Linked DNA regions of Xenopus tropicalis. The protein of the gene in region 1 purifies or fractionates together with the protein of each later gene. This does not show direct contact. Links are inferred from orthologs where the notes say so. Each region holds a gene or a part of one and is shown on either strand. Other genes may lie near its edges.

Region 1 (7,381 bases):
GGACCGCTCGCTGGTGCCCAGGGATGTTGTGCGTCGGATGGGTACAAAGGTAAGTGGCCGTATGAGCTGCACTGTCGGTGCTCCGTATCGCTCCCTCGCTGACCCCCGTCCCGTTGTGCCCCCCCAGGACAGCCAGTGCGGCACGGTGATCGACGTGAACATAGACTGCGTGGTGAAAGTGGTGGGGACCAACTGCTTCCTGCATCCGGTCAACAGTAAGGAGCTGCACCACATCTGGGTGAGATGTCGCCTTGGCAACTGCCGGTTACCGGGCCCCGCAGTGAAATCATTTAGAACCCCACAGGGCCCCTGGCAGTCACAGGGTCTTCCTTTATAGTAATGGCTCTGGGTCATGTGGTTCCATTGAGGGTCCAATCTCTATAGACCCCCGACTGTAATGTTCTGTGTCTTCTATTCATTCTCTTGCATCTTTGTGATTGGCTCCTCTCCTGTTGCCTCTCCAGCCTATCATGTACGGGGATTACATTGCCTACGACTGCTGGCTGGGCAAAGTGTATGATCTGAAGAACCAGGTTGTCCTCAAGCTGTCCAACGGCGCCAGGTATCGGCAGAACCCTCGGCCCATTCTGCAGAGCAGATGTTATAAGGGCACTTCGTTGGGGGTATTAGGGAATAAGCGCTATGGGTGCTTAATGGGTGCTTAATGGGTGCTGTGTGTAGAGAGGGGGAATGAGATTGGGTCGGACTGAACTGGGTTTCTCAGGGATCTTCCTTTTCCTCCCCCGCTTGCTGCAGATGTTCCATGAGCACCGAGGATGCGTCCAAACTGTACGACGTCTGCCCCCACGCCAGCGACTCGGTAACTCTCTCATTTACTTCCTGTTCCTCCGGTATCGCTAGGAGGCGGGGCCAACGGCTCCAAACTGACCAATTCACATCTCTATGTTGTACCTTTAGGGGCTGTTCTTTGATGACTCCTATGGCTTTTACCCTGGGCAAGTACTGATCGGCCCCTCCAAGGTGTTCTCCAGCGTGCAGTGGCTCTCTGGGGTCAAGCCGGTACTGAGTGCCAAGAGCAAGTTTCGCGTGGGGGTGGAAGAGGTAAAGTTCCACTCTCTCCTTCGCTGCAGTTCTGGGGTAACCAAAACGGGTGCCACTGGGGGTGGGTTTGTATCTGGTGTAGGATCGGAGCCCGTACAGCCCGGAGCCATGAAACCAGAGCGAGCCGATCCTTATAGTCTTGGGGCTTTCTTAAGGTCCCCATACACCATAAGATCCGCTCGTTTGGCGATGTCGCCAAGTGAGCGGATCTTCTCCCGATATCCCCACCTACGGGTGGGCAATATGGGGGGAATTTAGGGTAATTGGGGCCAAACAATTGAATTATTACGGCAGGTATAGGCAAAGTCGGTCCGGGGATGGTATCAACGAGCCAATGTGGTCCCCGATCCGACTAGATTTTCTAACCTGCCCGATCAAGATCTGGCCAATTTCAGGTTAGATATGGGTCGGGCATGCCGTCGGTAGTGCCCATACACGGGCCGATTAGCTGCCGAATCTGTCTAAGGGGCCAATATCGGCAGCTAGAATCGGCCCATGGATGGGGACCTTTACTCTTGGTGACTTCTGTTGCCATTTCATTGTGCCCATTGTGCCCCACTCATGAGTTTCCACCTGAAGTCCTTTCCCCCCATACTGTATAGGAAGCTCTCATATACGGTATGGGGGGGGGGGGGCAGTGTGTACCCTAGCTATCCCAATTCCAACCTCACCAGGCCATCCGGCTAATTACCCCCCCACCTGCTCCAAGATACCCCAAGGGGGTGCCCTACCCTAGTGTGGAGCCGTGGCGCTTGCCGTGCTGGACCCTGTAGTGCACTCATGAATAATTACTTTAGCTCATGAATAAGTAATGATTTAGTGGCGACACGGAAGGTCGAAGGTCGGGACCGCCCATGCAGGCGGCACCCGGTGCTTCAGGGAAACGTCTCCCACCCCTTATAGTTTATTTCTGGTGCTTGTAGCCGGTTAATCTCCTGGTAGAGCGCCCGTTTCCTGCTCAGTGTGTGATGCTTACGTATATGTGCGTGTAACACGCGTGTGCGTTCATTCTCCCCCCCGCGTTACAGGTGCAAGTCACTGAATTACGAGTTACTTGGATCACAAAAAGCTTTTGTCTCGGCGGCACCGATTCCATGGACCCCCCACCCGCTGTGATTACTCAGGAGAACCTGTCTAGGTGAGTCCAACCTGAGCCAATGGGGTGGGAGTTTCCAGTGCACCCAAACTGTTCCTCCACTAGAGGGCGATATGGGCAACTCCATGAGCTGCTGTTCTGTTTCCCCTCAGAGTGAAACGACTGGGCTCCTTCGACCACACGCAGAGGCAGCTGGGAGAGCGCTGTCTGTACATCTTCCCCACTAAGGTGGAACCCACCAAAATTCTGTGTGAAAGTCTCGAGAAGAACTGCCTGCTGGGGGAGGTCACCGTCACCAGGAAGGTAGGGCCACTGAAGGCTGCAGAGGTAGCGGCCCAAGCAAAGGGTATTAGCTGGCACTGGCATGGGGGGGTTGTTTATCATGGTAGGAGATGTAACACCTGATTTTCTGTCTCACCATTGGTCCATACACAGCAGGTGGAAAAGCTACGGGAGAAGCAGATAGTCAAGATAATCTCATGTACCCAGGATCCCTCCAACCCTACTGAACTCCTCAAAAAAAACTCCACAGTGCCCCCGTCGTATGAAATACCCACAGCAAGGGCAACCGAGGAAGATCTTGTCTCTGCCAAGCTGGAAGGGGAACCCCCCGAGGAACCGAACGTTCCGGAGTGCCCAACCAAAGAGCAGCCTTTGGGCACCTTCCGGGAAATATTCCAGGGCCTCCAGCTGCATTCCTCGGAACAGGACGCCGACGATGAAGCCGCAGGGGATACCGACGAGACCAGCTCGGTGACTTCCTCGGCCAGTTCTACGGCTTCTTCCCAAAGTGGCAGCGGCGCTGGGCGCAAGAAGAGCATCCCCCTGTCCATCCGGAACCTCAAGAGGAAACATAAGAAGAAGAAAAAGAGCAAAGTATACAGAGAGTTCAAACATGGCGACAGGTTGGTATTAGTAATGGACCCTCCCAGAGTGCCAAGCAAAGGGCAGCTATGTAGCTGCAGCGCCCCCTCTGGTCGTTTTACATTGTCATCTATGGCTGTCCCTGCAGGGTGGCTGTCGAGGTTATAACCACTGTGACCACGGCTGACGTTATGTGGCAAGATGGGAGCGTTGAGACCAACATCCGCTCTAATGAACTGGTACCGATCCAGCATCTGGATAACAACGAGTTCTGCCCCGGGGACTTTGTAGTCGACAAGAGAGGTCAGTAATGTTAGATGCACAGAGACAGAGCAAGGGGCATACGGGCAGATGAGTGGGGCAGAGACAGAGCAGGGGGCATATGGGCAGATGAGTGGGGCAGAGACAGAGCAGGGGCATACGCGCAGATGAGTGGGGCAGAGACAGAGCGAGGGGGCATATGGGCAGATGAGTGGGGCAGAGACAGAGCAGGGGGCATATGGGCAGATGAGTGGGGCAGAGACAGAGCGAGGGGCATATGGGCAGATGAGTGGGGCAGAGACAGAGCAGGGGGCATACGGGCAGATGAATGGGGCAGAGACAGAGCAGGGGGCATACGGGCAGATGAGTGGGGCAGAGACAGAGCAGGGGGCATACGGGCAGATGAGTGGGGCAGAGACAGAGCAGGGGGCATATGGGCAGATGAGTGGGGCAGAGACAGAGCAGGGGGCATACAGGCAGATGAATGGGACAGAGTGAGGGGGGGCAGAGACGGAGTGAGGGGCAGAGACGGAGTGAGGGGCAGAGACGGAGTGAGGGGCAGAGACGGAGTGAGGGGCAGAGACGGAGTGAGGGGCAGAGACGGAGTGAGGGGCAGATGAGTGGGGAGAGTGAGGGGCAAATAACAGTAAATATGTGGGTTTAAGACAAACAGATTTACAGAATGACGCTCTCCGGTTCATCTGAAATAGCCTTTTCCTTCTCTCTCCCCCAACAGCCCACGCTGCCCAGGACCCCAGTATATACGGAGTGGTGCAGTCTGGGGATCACACGGGCCGTACTTGTGTGGTAAAATGGATCAAGCTGAATTTGAATGGGGACGATACGGAGGTGAGTTACGGAATCGCTGTGACCCGACATGTCCCTTCCCTGAGCCAGAACTATATTTTATGGACCGTACGGCACGGGGTTCTGTTATTTCTTTGTGTTCAAAGGTTTTTGTCGATTTACTGATTAGTGGCCGTCCTGCTTCTCTGGGCTGTGCTGGGCCCGCCATGTTGGGCAGGGGTGCAAGACTGTTAGCCGGGTGATACTGTGTGCCCCATCATGCTCTGCTTCAGCCATACACACAAACATGTCTCTTACTGTTTCTCAGCTTGTTGGGGAAGAGGAGGATGTCAGTGTGTATGACATTGTTGACCATCCAGATTTCCGATTCCGAGCCACAGACATAGTGATCCGCATTGGCAACTCTGATCCAGAAGCCTTTCCTGATGCCAGCCAGGTGGGAACTTTTTATTCCAGATGCCGTTACCGGTGGCTGTTACATTTATTTAAGGTGATTAAACCCCCTTTCCCTGTTTTGCAGCCGTCGGTGGGGCAGGTGGCTCGGGTGGACGTGAGCAGCAAAGTCGAAGTGATCTGGGCTGATAATTCCCGGACTATTGTCCTCCCACAGGTAAGTGTGTTGTATAAATATTGGGGCCCACCCCATCTCTGATGTCACAAAGGGGGAGGGGTGTAGCAGGCACACACCCACTGATAGGGGCTGATGGTAGAGGAAGTGGGGAAGGAGGGTGGAAGGAAGAACTCATACTCGCCCTGTGGATATTGGGTCCTGTGGATACTGGGTCCTGTGGGTTACAGGCCGCATTCTCTGTTCTGGAGACTGCTGCACCTACAAATTGTTTCCTTTTGACTCCCCAGCATCTGTATAACGTGGAATCCGAACTGGAGGAATCCTTTTATGACTCCGTGGACAGCAGCTCCAGCGGCGCCTCGTCTGATGAATGGGAGGATGAGAGCGACAGCTGGGAAACGGACAACGGGCTGACGGAAGATGAAATCCCTCGGGCGGCGGGGGGGGAGGAGGCGGCGGCTTCACAGAATGAGACCGCCCCCGCAGAGCCGATGCAGGAACCGGCGCAAGACGAGGCGGAACAGAGCGCTGCATTGGCTGCGGCCGCGGATCTGGGAGTTCTCGGCGTGAAAGTGAATGAGAAAGAAGGGATTGTGAAGAGCTTTAAGGAGCTGAAGGAGGCCATTAAGATCCTGGAGAGCCTGAAGAACATGACGGTAGAACAGCTGCTCACCGGCTCCCCAACCTCCCCCACAGCCGAGCCGGAGAAGTTCACTCGGGAGAAGAAGTTCCTGGATGATATAAAGAAGCTGCAGGAGAACCTCAAGAAAACCCTGGACAATGTGGCCATAGCTGAGGAGGAAAAGATGGAGTCGGCGCCCGAGACTGAGAAGGAGGAGAAAGCTGAAGCGCAGACGCCCGTCCGGTCAGAATGGCCGAGTGACACGCCCGTGTTGTGCCAGCAGAGCGGCGGCAAACCCGGCGTCATCTTCACCAGCGCCAAAGGGGAGGTCTTCTCTGTGCTTGAAACTGCCCCCGGTATGTATCATCGCTTAGTATCTTCCCCCTCCTGGATCACTTCCTGTGCCAGTGCTTACCCACAATCCCGTGCTTCCTCCCCCCTTAGAGAGCCAAGCCTTTAAGAAGCTGGAGTTCCAAGCCCCGGAAGCCAAGAAGTTCTTCAGCACCGTGCGTAAAGAGATGGCTCTGCTGGCGACTTCCCTCCCGGACGGCATCATGGTGAAGACCTTTGAAGACCGAATGGTAAATACCAATTTGTTTGCCCGAGAGTGGGAGCCAAAAAAACCTGTAACTAAAGGGGAACTCCACCCAAACACAACTTACGCTTTTTGAAAAGTAAACATAATGTCAAGCAACTTCACAATATACATCAGTTACAAACATATTCAACATTTCATGACTTAATGTAATAATCTGGTTGGAACAGTTCCCTAAGCCCCACCCCCTGTTCCCTAAGCCCCGCCCCCTGTTCCCTGCTGGTCTGGCCGACTACTTTGTGACTCAAATAAAATGTAACCGTAGTTGCCTGTCCCTCAGCCTGTATCCTCCCAATCCCACAATCCCCTGCACACGTGATGTCAATAAGGAAAGGAACATATATACAGGTATAGGACCCATTATCCAGAATGCTCGGGACCAAGGGTTTGACGGATAAGGGGTCTTTCTGTAATTTGGATCTCCATACTTTAAATCTATTAAAAAAACATTAAAACATAAATTAAACCCAATAGGATTGTTCTGCCCCAATAAGGGGTAATTATATCTTAGTTGGGATCAAGTACAGGTACTGTTTTATTATTACAGAGAAAAGGGAATCATTTAACCATTAAATAAACCCAATAGGGCTGTTCTGCCCCCAATAAGGGGTAATTATATCTTAGTTGGGATCAAGTACAAGTACTGTTTTATTATTACAGAGAAAAGGGAATCATTTAACCATTAAATAAACCCAATAGGGCTGTTCTGCCCCCAATAAGGGGTAATTATATCTTAGTTGGGATCAGGTACAGGTACTGTTTTATTATTACAGAGAAAAGGGAATCATTTAACCATTAAATAAACCCAATAGGGCTGTTCTGCCCCAATAAGGGGTAATTATATCTTAGTTGGGATCAAGTACAGGTACTGTTTTATTATTACAGAGAAAAGGGAATCATTTAACCATTAAATAAACCCAATAGGGCTGTTCTGCCCCAATAAGGGGTAATTATATCTTAGTTGGGATCAAGTACAGGTACTGTTTTATTATTACAGAGAAAAGGGAATCATTTAACCATGAAATAAACCCAATAGGGCTGTTCTGCCCCAATAAGGGGTAATTATATCTTAGTTGGGATCAAGTACAGGTACTGTTTTATTATTACAGAGAAAAGGGAATCATTTAACCATTAAATAAACCCAATAGGGCTGTTCTGCCCCAATAAGGGGTAATTATATCTTAGTTGGGATCAAGTACAGGTACTGTTTTATTATTACAGAGAAAAGGGAATCATTTAACCATTAAATAAACCCAATAGGGCTGTTCTGCCCCCAATAAGGGGTAATTATATCTTATGTCTTAATTTACAAATCTGAATCATTTGATTAAAATGGAGTCTATGGGAGATGGCCTTTCCGTAATTCGGAGCTTTCTGGATAACGGGTTTCCGGATAACGGATCCCATAACTGTATATATAATAATCTCCCCACACCTTCTTTCTCTTTTCTCTCTCTCCTGCCGTAGGATCTGTTCTCTGCACTTATTAAAGGGCCGACGCGC
Region 2 (7,925 bases), on another chromosome or scaffold:
CGTGGCTCCCAAGCGTTTCCTGCCAGACACACTGTGGCCCCCAAGCGCACCGTGGCTCCCAAGCGTTTCCTGCCAGACGCACCGTGGCTCCCAAGCGTTTCCTGCCAGACGCACCGTGGCCCCCAAGCGTTTCCTGCCAGACGCACCGTGGCTCCCAAGCGTTTCCTGCCAGACGCACCGTGGCTCCCAAGCGTTTCCTGCCAGACGCACCGTGGCTCCCAAGCGTTTCCTGCCAGGCACGCCGTGGCCCCCAAGCGTTTCCTGCCAGACACACCGTGGCTCCCAAGCGTTTCCTGCCAGACGCACCGTGGCCCCCAAGCGTTTCCTGCCAGGCGCACTGTGGCTCCCAAGCGTTTCCTGCCAGACGCACCGCGGCTCCCAAGCGTTTCCTGCCAGACGCACCGTGGCCCCCAAGCGTTTCCTGCCAGACGCACCGTGGCCCCCAAGCGTTTCCTGCCAGACGCACCGTGGCCCCCAAGCGTTTCCTGCCAGACGCACCGTGGCCCCCAAGCGTTTCCTGCCAGGCGCACCGTGGCTCCCAAGCGTTTCCTGCCAGACGCACCGTGGCTCCCAAGCGTTTCCTGCCAGACGCACCGTGGCCCCCAAGCGTTTCCTGCCAGGACGCACCGTGGCTCCCAAGCGTTTCCTGCCAGACGCACCGTGGCCCCCAAGCGTTTCCTGCCAGACGCACCGTGGCCCCCAAGCGTTTCCTGCCAGACGCACCGTGGCCCCCAAGCGTTTCCTGCCAGACGCACCCGTGGCCCCCAAGCGTTTCCTGCCAGGCGCACCGTGGCTCCCAAGCGTTTCCTGCCAGACGCACCGTGGCCCCCAAGCGTTTCCTGCCAGACGCACCGTGGCTCCCAAGCGTTTCCTGCCAGACGCACCGTGGCCCCCAAGCGTTTCCTGCCAGGCGCACCGTGGCTCCCAAGCGTTTCCTGCCAGACGCACCGTGGCCCCCAAGCGTTTCCTGCCAGACGCACCGTGGCCCCCAAGCGTTTCCTGCCAGACGCACCGTGGCTCCCAAGCGTTTCCTGCCAGACGCACCGTGGCCCCCAAGCGTTTCCTGCCAGGCGCACCGTGGCCCCCAAGCGTTTCCTGCCAGGCGCACCGTGGCCCCCAAGCGTTTCCTGCCAGGCGCACCGTGGCCCCCAAGCGTTTCCTGCCAGACGCACTGTGGCTCCCAAGCGTTTCCTGCCAGACGCACCGTGGCTCCCAAGCGTTCCTGCCAGACGCACCGTGGCTCCCAAGCGTTTCCTGCCAGACGCACTGTGGCTCCCAAGCGTTTCCTGCCAGACGCACCGTGGCTCCCAAGCGTTCCTGCCAGACGCACCGTGGCCCCCAAGCGTTTCCTGCCAGGCGCACTGTGGCCCCCAAGCGTTTCCTGCCAGACGCACCGCGGCTCCCAAGCGTTTCCTGCCAGACGCACCGTGGCCCCCAAGCGTTTCCTGCCAGACGCACTGTGGCCCCCAAGCGTTTCCTGCCAGACGCACTGTGGCCCCCAAGCGTTTCCTGCCAGACGCACTGTGGCTCCCAAGCGTTTCCTGCCAGACGCACCGTGGCCCCCAAGCGTTTCCTGCCAGACGCACCGTGGCCCCCAAGCGTTTCCTGCCAGACGCACTGTGGCCCCCAAGCGTTCCTGCCAGACGCACTGTGGCTCCCAAGCGTTTCCTGCCAGACGCACTGTGGCTCCCAAGCGTTTCCTGCCAGACGCACTGTGGCCCCAAGCGTTTCCTGCCAGACGCACCGTGGCTCCCAAGCGTTTCCTGCCAGACGCACTGTGGCTCCCAAGCGTTTCCTGCCAGACGCACCGTGGCCCCCAAGCGTTTCCTGCCAGACGCACTGTGGCCCCCAAGCGTTTCCTGCCAGACGCACTGTGGCCCCCAAGCGTTTCCTGCCAGACGCACTGTGGCCCCCAAGCGTTTCCTGCCAGACGCACTGTGGCCCCCAAGCGTTTCCTGCCAGACGCACCGTGGCCCCCAAGCGTTTCCTGCCAGGCGCACCGTGGCTCCCAAGCGTTTCCTGCCAGGCGCACTGTGGCTCCCAAGCGTTCCTGCCAGACGCACTGTGGCCCCCAAGCGTTTCCTGCCAGACGCACCGTGGCTCCCAAGCGTTTCCTGCCAGACGCACTGTGGCCCCCAAGCGTTTCCTGCCAGACGCACTGTGGCCCCCAAGCGTTTCCTGCCAGGCTTATATCAGTATGGGGACTGAGGGTGTGAGACTGGGATAGGCCAGCAAATAATAAAAGAACGGAAACTGATATAAATATAAAAACACAAATAATAAAGGAAGACCAACTGCACAGAATGTTACTCTCTGCCTCACACTGGGGAACAGCCCCCCATAACGCACAGTACTGCACACACAATGGGGAAATACTGAGGGGAACTAATGGCTGCTTGTCCCCTAGCGATAGGGAAACCGCTCACTCCTATTGGATAACACTGACCGACGCCACTACGTCATCTCTGCTCGTCGTCACGCCAGTAATGCGGCGACGTGTTGCGTCATTGCGCTTACGTGGAGCATTCCGGTGCGTCTTTACGCTTACGTTATGACGCACCGCAATGCGCTTATGTGATGCGTCATTACGCTTACGTGGAACCGCAATGCTCCTATGTGGTGCGTCATTACGCTTACGTTGGGACGGAATGTGCCTGCCCGTGCGTCAGGACGCATACGTGAGCCGTGACGCCATAGTCTCGCGAGATTATATAGGTAACGGGAGTTGTTTCTGTCAGACAGAGGGGAGGAGTTTGTACTTATTGTGCGGGACGTGTGAGTATCTGCCCGGGACCGTGTGAGGAGCGGGGGGAGTGGCCTGTAACAGCGGGGCTTGTTGGGCGTCTCTTTCCCCCCTGGTACCGACATTACTGTGTCCTGTAACTGTAACTCCCCAACATGTGTCCTGCCCTGTCCCCTACATATGTGGGTACAGCCCCCTGCCTGGGGATATATGTGGGTACAGCCCCCCTGCCTGGGGATATATGTGGGTACAGCCCCCCTGCCTGGGGATATATGTGGGTACAGCCCCCTGCCTGGGGATATATGTGGGTACAGCCCCCTGCCTGGGGATATATGTGGGTACAGCCCCCCTGCCTGGGGATATATGTGGGTACAGCCCCCTGCCTGGGGATATATGTGGGTACAGCCCCCTGCCTGGGGATATATGTGGGTACAGCCCCCTGCCTGGGGATATATGTGGGTACAGCCCCCCTGCCTGGGGATATATGTGGGGTACAGCCCCCTGCCTGGGGATATATGTGGGTACAGCCCCCCTGCCTGGGGATATATGTGGGTACAGCCCCCTGCCTGGGATATATGTGGGTACAGCCCCCCTGCCTGGGGATATATGTGGGTACAGCCCCCCTGCCCTGGGGATATATGTGGGGTACAGCCCCCCTGCCTGGGGATATATGTGGGTACAGCCCCCTGCCTGGGGATATATGTGGGGTACAGCCCCCTGCCTGGGGATATATGTGGGGTACAGCCCCCCTGCCTGGGGATATATGTGGGTACAGCCCCCCTGCCTGGGGGATATATGTGGGTACAGCCCCCCTGCCTGGGGATATATGTGGGGTACAGCCCCTGCCGGGGATATGTGGGGTACGCCCCCTGCCTGGGGATATATGTGGGTACAGCCCCCTGCCTGGGGATATATGTGGGTACAGCCCCCCTGCCTGGGATATATGTGGGTACAGCCCCCCTGCCTGGGGATATATGTGGGTACAGCCCCCCTGCCTGGGGATATATGTGGGTACAGCCCCCCTGCCTGGGGATATATGTGGGTACAGCCCCCTGCCTGGGATAATGGGTAAGCCCCTGGGATATGTGGGTACAGCCCCCCTGCCTGGGGATATATGTGGGTACAGCCCCCCTGCCTGGGGATATATGTGGGTACAGCCCCCCTGCCTGGGGATATATGTGGGTACAGCCCCCCTGCCTGGGGATATATGTGGGTACAGCCCCCCTGCCTGGGATATATGTGGGTACAGCCCCCCTGCCTGGGGATATATGTGGGTACAGCCCCCTGCCTGGGGATATATGTGGGTACAGCCCCCTGCCTGGGATATATGTGGGTACAGCCCCCCTGCCTGGGGATATATGTGGGTACAGCCCCCCTGCCTGGGGATATATGTGGGTACAGCCCCCTGCCTGGGGATATATGTGGGGTACAGCCCCCTGCCTGGGGATATATGTGGGGTACAGCCCCCCTGCCTGGGGATATATGTGGGTTACAGCCCCCTGCCTGGGGAATATTATGTGGGTACAGCCCCCCTGCCTGGGGATATATGTGGGTACAGCCCCCTGCCTGGGGATATATGTGGGTACAGCCCCCTGCCTGGGGATATATGTGGGTACAGCCCCCCTGCCTGGGGATATATGTGGGTACAGCCCCCCTGCCTGGGGATATATGTGGGTACAGCCCCCCTGCCTGGGGATATATGTGGGTACAGCCCCCCTGCCTGGGGATATATGTGGGTACAGCCCCCCTGCCTGGGGATATATGTGGGTACAGCCCCCCTGCCTGGGGATATATGTGGGTACAGCCCCCTGCCTGGGGATATATGTGGGGTACAGCCCCCCTGCCTGGGGATATATGTGGGTACAGCCCCCCTGCCTGGGGATATATGTGGGTACAGCCCCCTGCCTGGGGATATATGTGGGTACAGCCCCCCTGCCTGGGATATATGTGGGTACAGCCCCCCTGCCTGGGGATATATGTGGGTACAGCCCCCCTGCCTGGGGATATATGTGGGGTACAGCCCCCCTGCCTGGGGATATATGTGGGTACAGCCCCCCTGCCTGGGGATATATGTGGGTACAGCCCCCCCTGCCTGGGATATATGTGGGTACAGCCCCCTGCCTGGGGATATATGTGGGTACAGCCCCCCTGCCTGGGGATATATGTGGGTACAGCCCCTGCCTGGGGAATATATGTGGGTACGCCCCCTGCCTGGGGATATATGTGGGTACAGCCCCCCTGCCTGGGGATATATGTGGGTACAGCCCCCTGCCTGGGGATATATGTGGGTACAGCCCCCTGCCTGGGGATATATGTGGGTACAGCCCCCCTGCCTGGGGATATATGTGGGGTACAGCCCCCTGCCTGGGGATATATGTGGGGTACAGCCCCCTGCCTGGGGATATATGTGGGTACAGCCCCCTGCCTGGGGATATATGTGGGTACAGCCCCCTGCCTGGGGATATATGTGGGTACAGCCCCCTGCCTGGGGATATATGTGGGTACAGCCCCCTGCCTGGGATATATGTGGGGTACAGCCCCCTGCCTGGGGATATATGTGGGTACAGCCCCCTGCCTGGGATATATGGCCCCCTGCCGGGGATATATGTGGGTACAGCCCCCCTGCCTGGGGATATATGTGGGTACAGCCCCCCTGCCTGGGGATATATGTGGGGTACAGCCCCCTGCCTGGGGATATATGTGGGTACAGCCCCCTGCCTGGGGATATATGTGGGTACAGCCCCCCTGCCTGGGGATATATGTGGGTACAGCCCCCTGCCTGGGGATATATGTGGGGTACAGCCCCCTGCCTGGGGATATATGTGGGGTACAGCCCCCTGCCTGGGGATATATGTGGGTACAGCCCCCCTGCCTGGGATATATGTGGGGTACAGCCCCCTGCCTGGGGATATATGTGGGGTACAGCCCCCTGCCTGGGGATATATGTGGGTACAGCCCCTGCCTGGGGATATATGTGGGTACAGCCCCCTGCCTGGGGATATATGTGGGTACAGCCCCCCTGCCTGGGGATATATGTGGGGTACAGCCCCCCTGCCTGGGGATATATGTGGGTACAGCCCCTGCCTGGGGATATATGTGGGTACAGCCCCCCTGCCTGGGGATATATGTGGGTACAGCCCCCCTGCCTGGGGATATATGTGGGGTACAGCCCCCCTGCCTGGGGATATATGTGGGGTACAGCCCCCCTGCCTGGGATATATGTGGGTACAGCCCCCCTGCCTGGGGATATATGTGGGGTACAGCCCCCTGCCTGGGGATATATGTGGGTACAGCCCCCCTGCCTGGGGATATATGTGGGTACAGTCCCCTGCCTGGGGATATATGTGGGTACAGCCCCCTGCCTGGGATATATGTGGGTACAGCCCCCCTGCCTGGGGATATATGTGGGTACAGTCCCCTGCCTGGGGATATATGTGGGGTACAGCCCCCCTGCCTGGGGATATATGTGGGTACAGCCCCCTGCCTGGGGATATATGTGGGGTACAGCCCCCTGCCTGGGGATATATGTGGGGTACAGCCCCCTGCCTGGGGATATATGTGGGGTACAGCCCCCTGCCTGGGGATATATGTGGGTACAGCCCCCCTGCCTGGGGATATATGTGGGTACAGCCCCCCTGCCTGGGGATATATGTGGGTACAGCCCCCCTGCCTGGGGATATATGTGGGTACAGCCCCCCTGCCTGGGGATATATGTGGGTACAGCCCCCCTGCCTGGGGATATATGTGGGTACAGCCCCCCTGCCTGGGGATATGTGGGTACAGCCCCCTGCCTGGGGATATATGTGGGTACAGCCCCCTGCCTGGGGATATATGTGGGTACAGCCCCCTGCCTGGGGATATATGTGGGGTACAGCCCCCTGCCTGGGGATATATGTGGGGTACAGCCCCCCTGCCTGGGGATATATGTGGGGGTACAGCCCCCTGCCTGGGGATATATGTGGGGTACAGCCCCCCTGCCTGGGGATATATGTGGGGTACAGCCCCCCTGCCTGGGGATATATGTGGGGTACAGCCCCCTGCCTGGGGATATATGTGGGGTACAGCCCCCTGCCTGGGGATATATGTGGGTACAGCCCCCTGCCTGGGGATATATGTGGGGTACAGCCCCTGCCTGGGGATATATGTGGGTAACAGCCCCCCTGCCTGGGGATATATGTGGGTACAGCCCCCCTGCCTGGGGATATATGTGGGTACAGCCCCCCTGCCTGGGGATATATGTGGGTACAGCCCCCCCTGCCTGGGGATATATGTGGGGTACAGCCCCCCTGCCTGGGGATATATGTGGGTACAGCCCCCCTGCCTGGGGATATGTGGGTACAGCCCCCTGCCTGGGGATATATGTGGGTACAGCCCCCTGCCTGGGGATATATGTGGGTACAGCCCCCTGCCTGGGGATATATGTGGGGTACAGCCCCCTGCCTGGGGATATATGTGGGGTACAGCCCCCTGCCTGGGGATATATGTGGGGTACAGCCCCCTGCCTGGGGATATATGTGGGTACAGCCCCCTGCCTGGGGATATATGTGGGTACAGCCCCCCTGCCTGGGGATATATGTGGGTACAGCCCCCCTGGCCTGGGGATATATGTGGGTACAGCCCCCCTGCCTGGGGATATATGTGGGTACAGCCCCCCTGCCTGGGGATATATGTGGGTACAGCCCCCCTGCCTGGGGATATATGTGGGTACAGCCCCCCTGCCTGGGGATATATGTGGGGTACAGCCCCCCTGCCTGGGGATATATGTGGGGTACAGCCCCCTGCCTGGGGATATATGTGGGTACAGCCCCCTGCCTGGCGGATATATGTGGGTACAGCCCCCTGCCTGGGGATATATGTGGGTACAGCCCCCTGCCTGGGGATATATGTGGGTACAGTCCCCTGCCTGGGGATATATGTGGGTACAGCCCCCCTGCCTGGGGATATATGTGGGTACAGCCCCCCTGCCTGGGGGATATATGTGGGTACAGCCCCCCTGCCTGGGGATATATGTGGGTACAGCCCCCTGCCTGGGGATATATGTGGGGTACAGCCCCCCTGCCTGGGGATATATGTGGGGTACAGCCCCCCCTGCCTGGGGATATATGTGGGGTACAGCCCCCCCTGCCTGGGGATATATGTGGGGTACAGCCCCCTGCCTGGGGATATATGTGGGTACAGCCCC

Evidence for each region.
Region 2: the proteins of ube2o (region 1) and nap1l4 purify together in Homo sapiens (affinity purification with mass spectrometry; 3 studies listed by BioGRID, with this or other methods). This does not show direct contact. The link is inferred for Xenopus tropicalis from reciprocal best matches to the Homo sapiens genes UBE2O and NAP1L4.

What each region holds. Positions count from the first base shown.
Region 1 is NC_030686.2:45,259,441-45,266,821, reverse strand, and holds part of ube2o ((E3-independent) E2 ubiquitin-conjugating enzyme), read left to right. Parts: coding exon 1-49; intron 50-127; coding exon 128-238; intron 239-464; coding exon 465-562; intron 563-756; coding exon 757-820; intron 821-918; coding exon 919-1,062; intron 1,063-2,090; coding exon 2,091-2,200; intron 2,201-2,310; coding exon 2,311-2,461; intron 2,462-2,581; coding exon 2,582-3,063; intron 3,064-3,170; coding exon 3,171-3,325; intron 3,326-4,019; coding exon 4,020-4,132; intron 4,133-4,397; coding exon 4,398-4,526; intron 4,527-4,610; coding exon 4,611-4,700; intron 4,701-4,948; coding exon 4,949-5,639; intron 5,640-5,727; coding exon 5,728-5,864; intron 5,865-7,345; coding exon 7,346-7,381. UniProt on the Homo sapiens protein: E2/E3 hybrid ubiquitin-protein ligase that displays both E2 and E3 ligase activities and mediates monoubiquitination of target proteins. Negatively regulates TRAF6-mediated NF-kappa-B activation independently of its E2 activity.
Region 2 is NC_030680.2:168,240-176,164, reverse strand, and holds the start of nap1l4 (nucleosome assembly protein 1-like 4), read left to right. Parts: upstream 1-2,751; 5' UTR 2,752-2,775; intron 2,776-2,839; exon of another isoform or gene 2,840-2,858; intron 2,859-7,925. UniProt on the Homo sapiens protein: Acts as a histone chaperone in nucleosome assembly.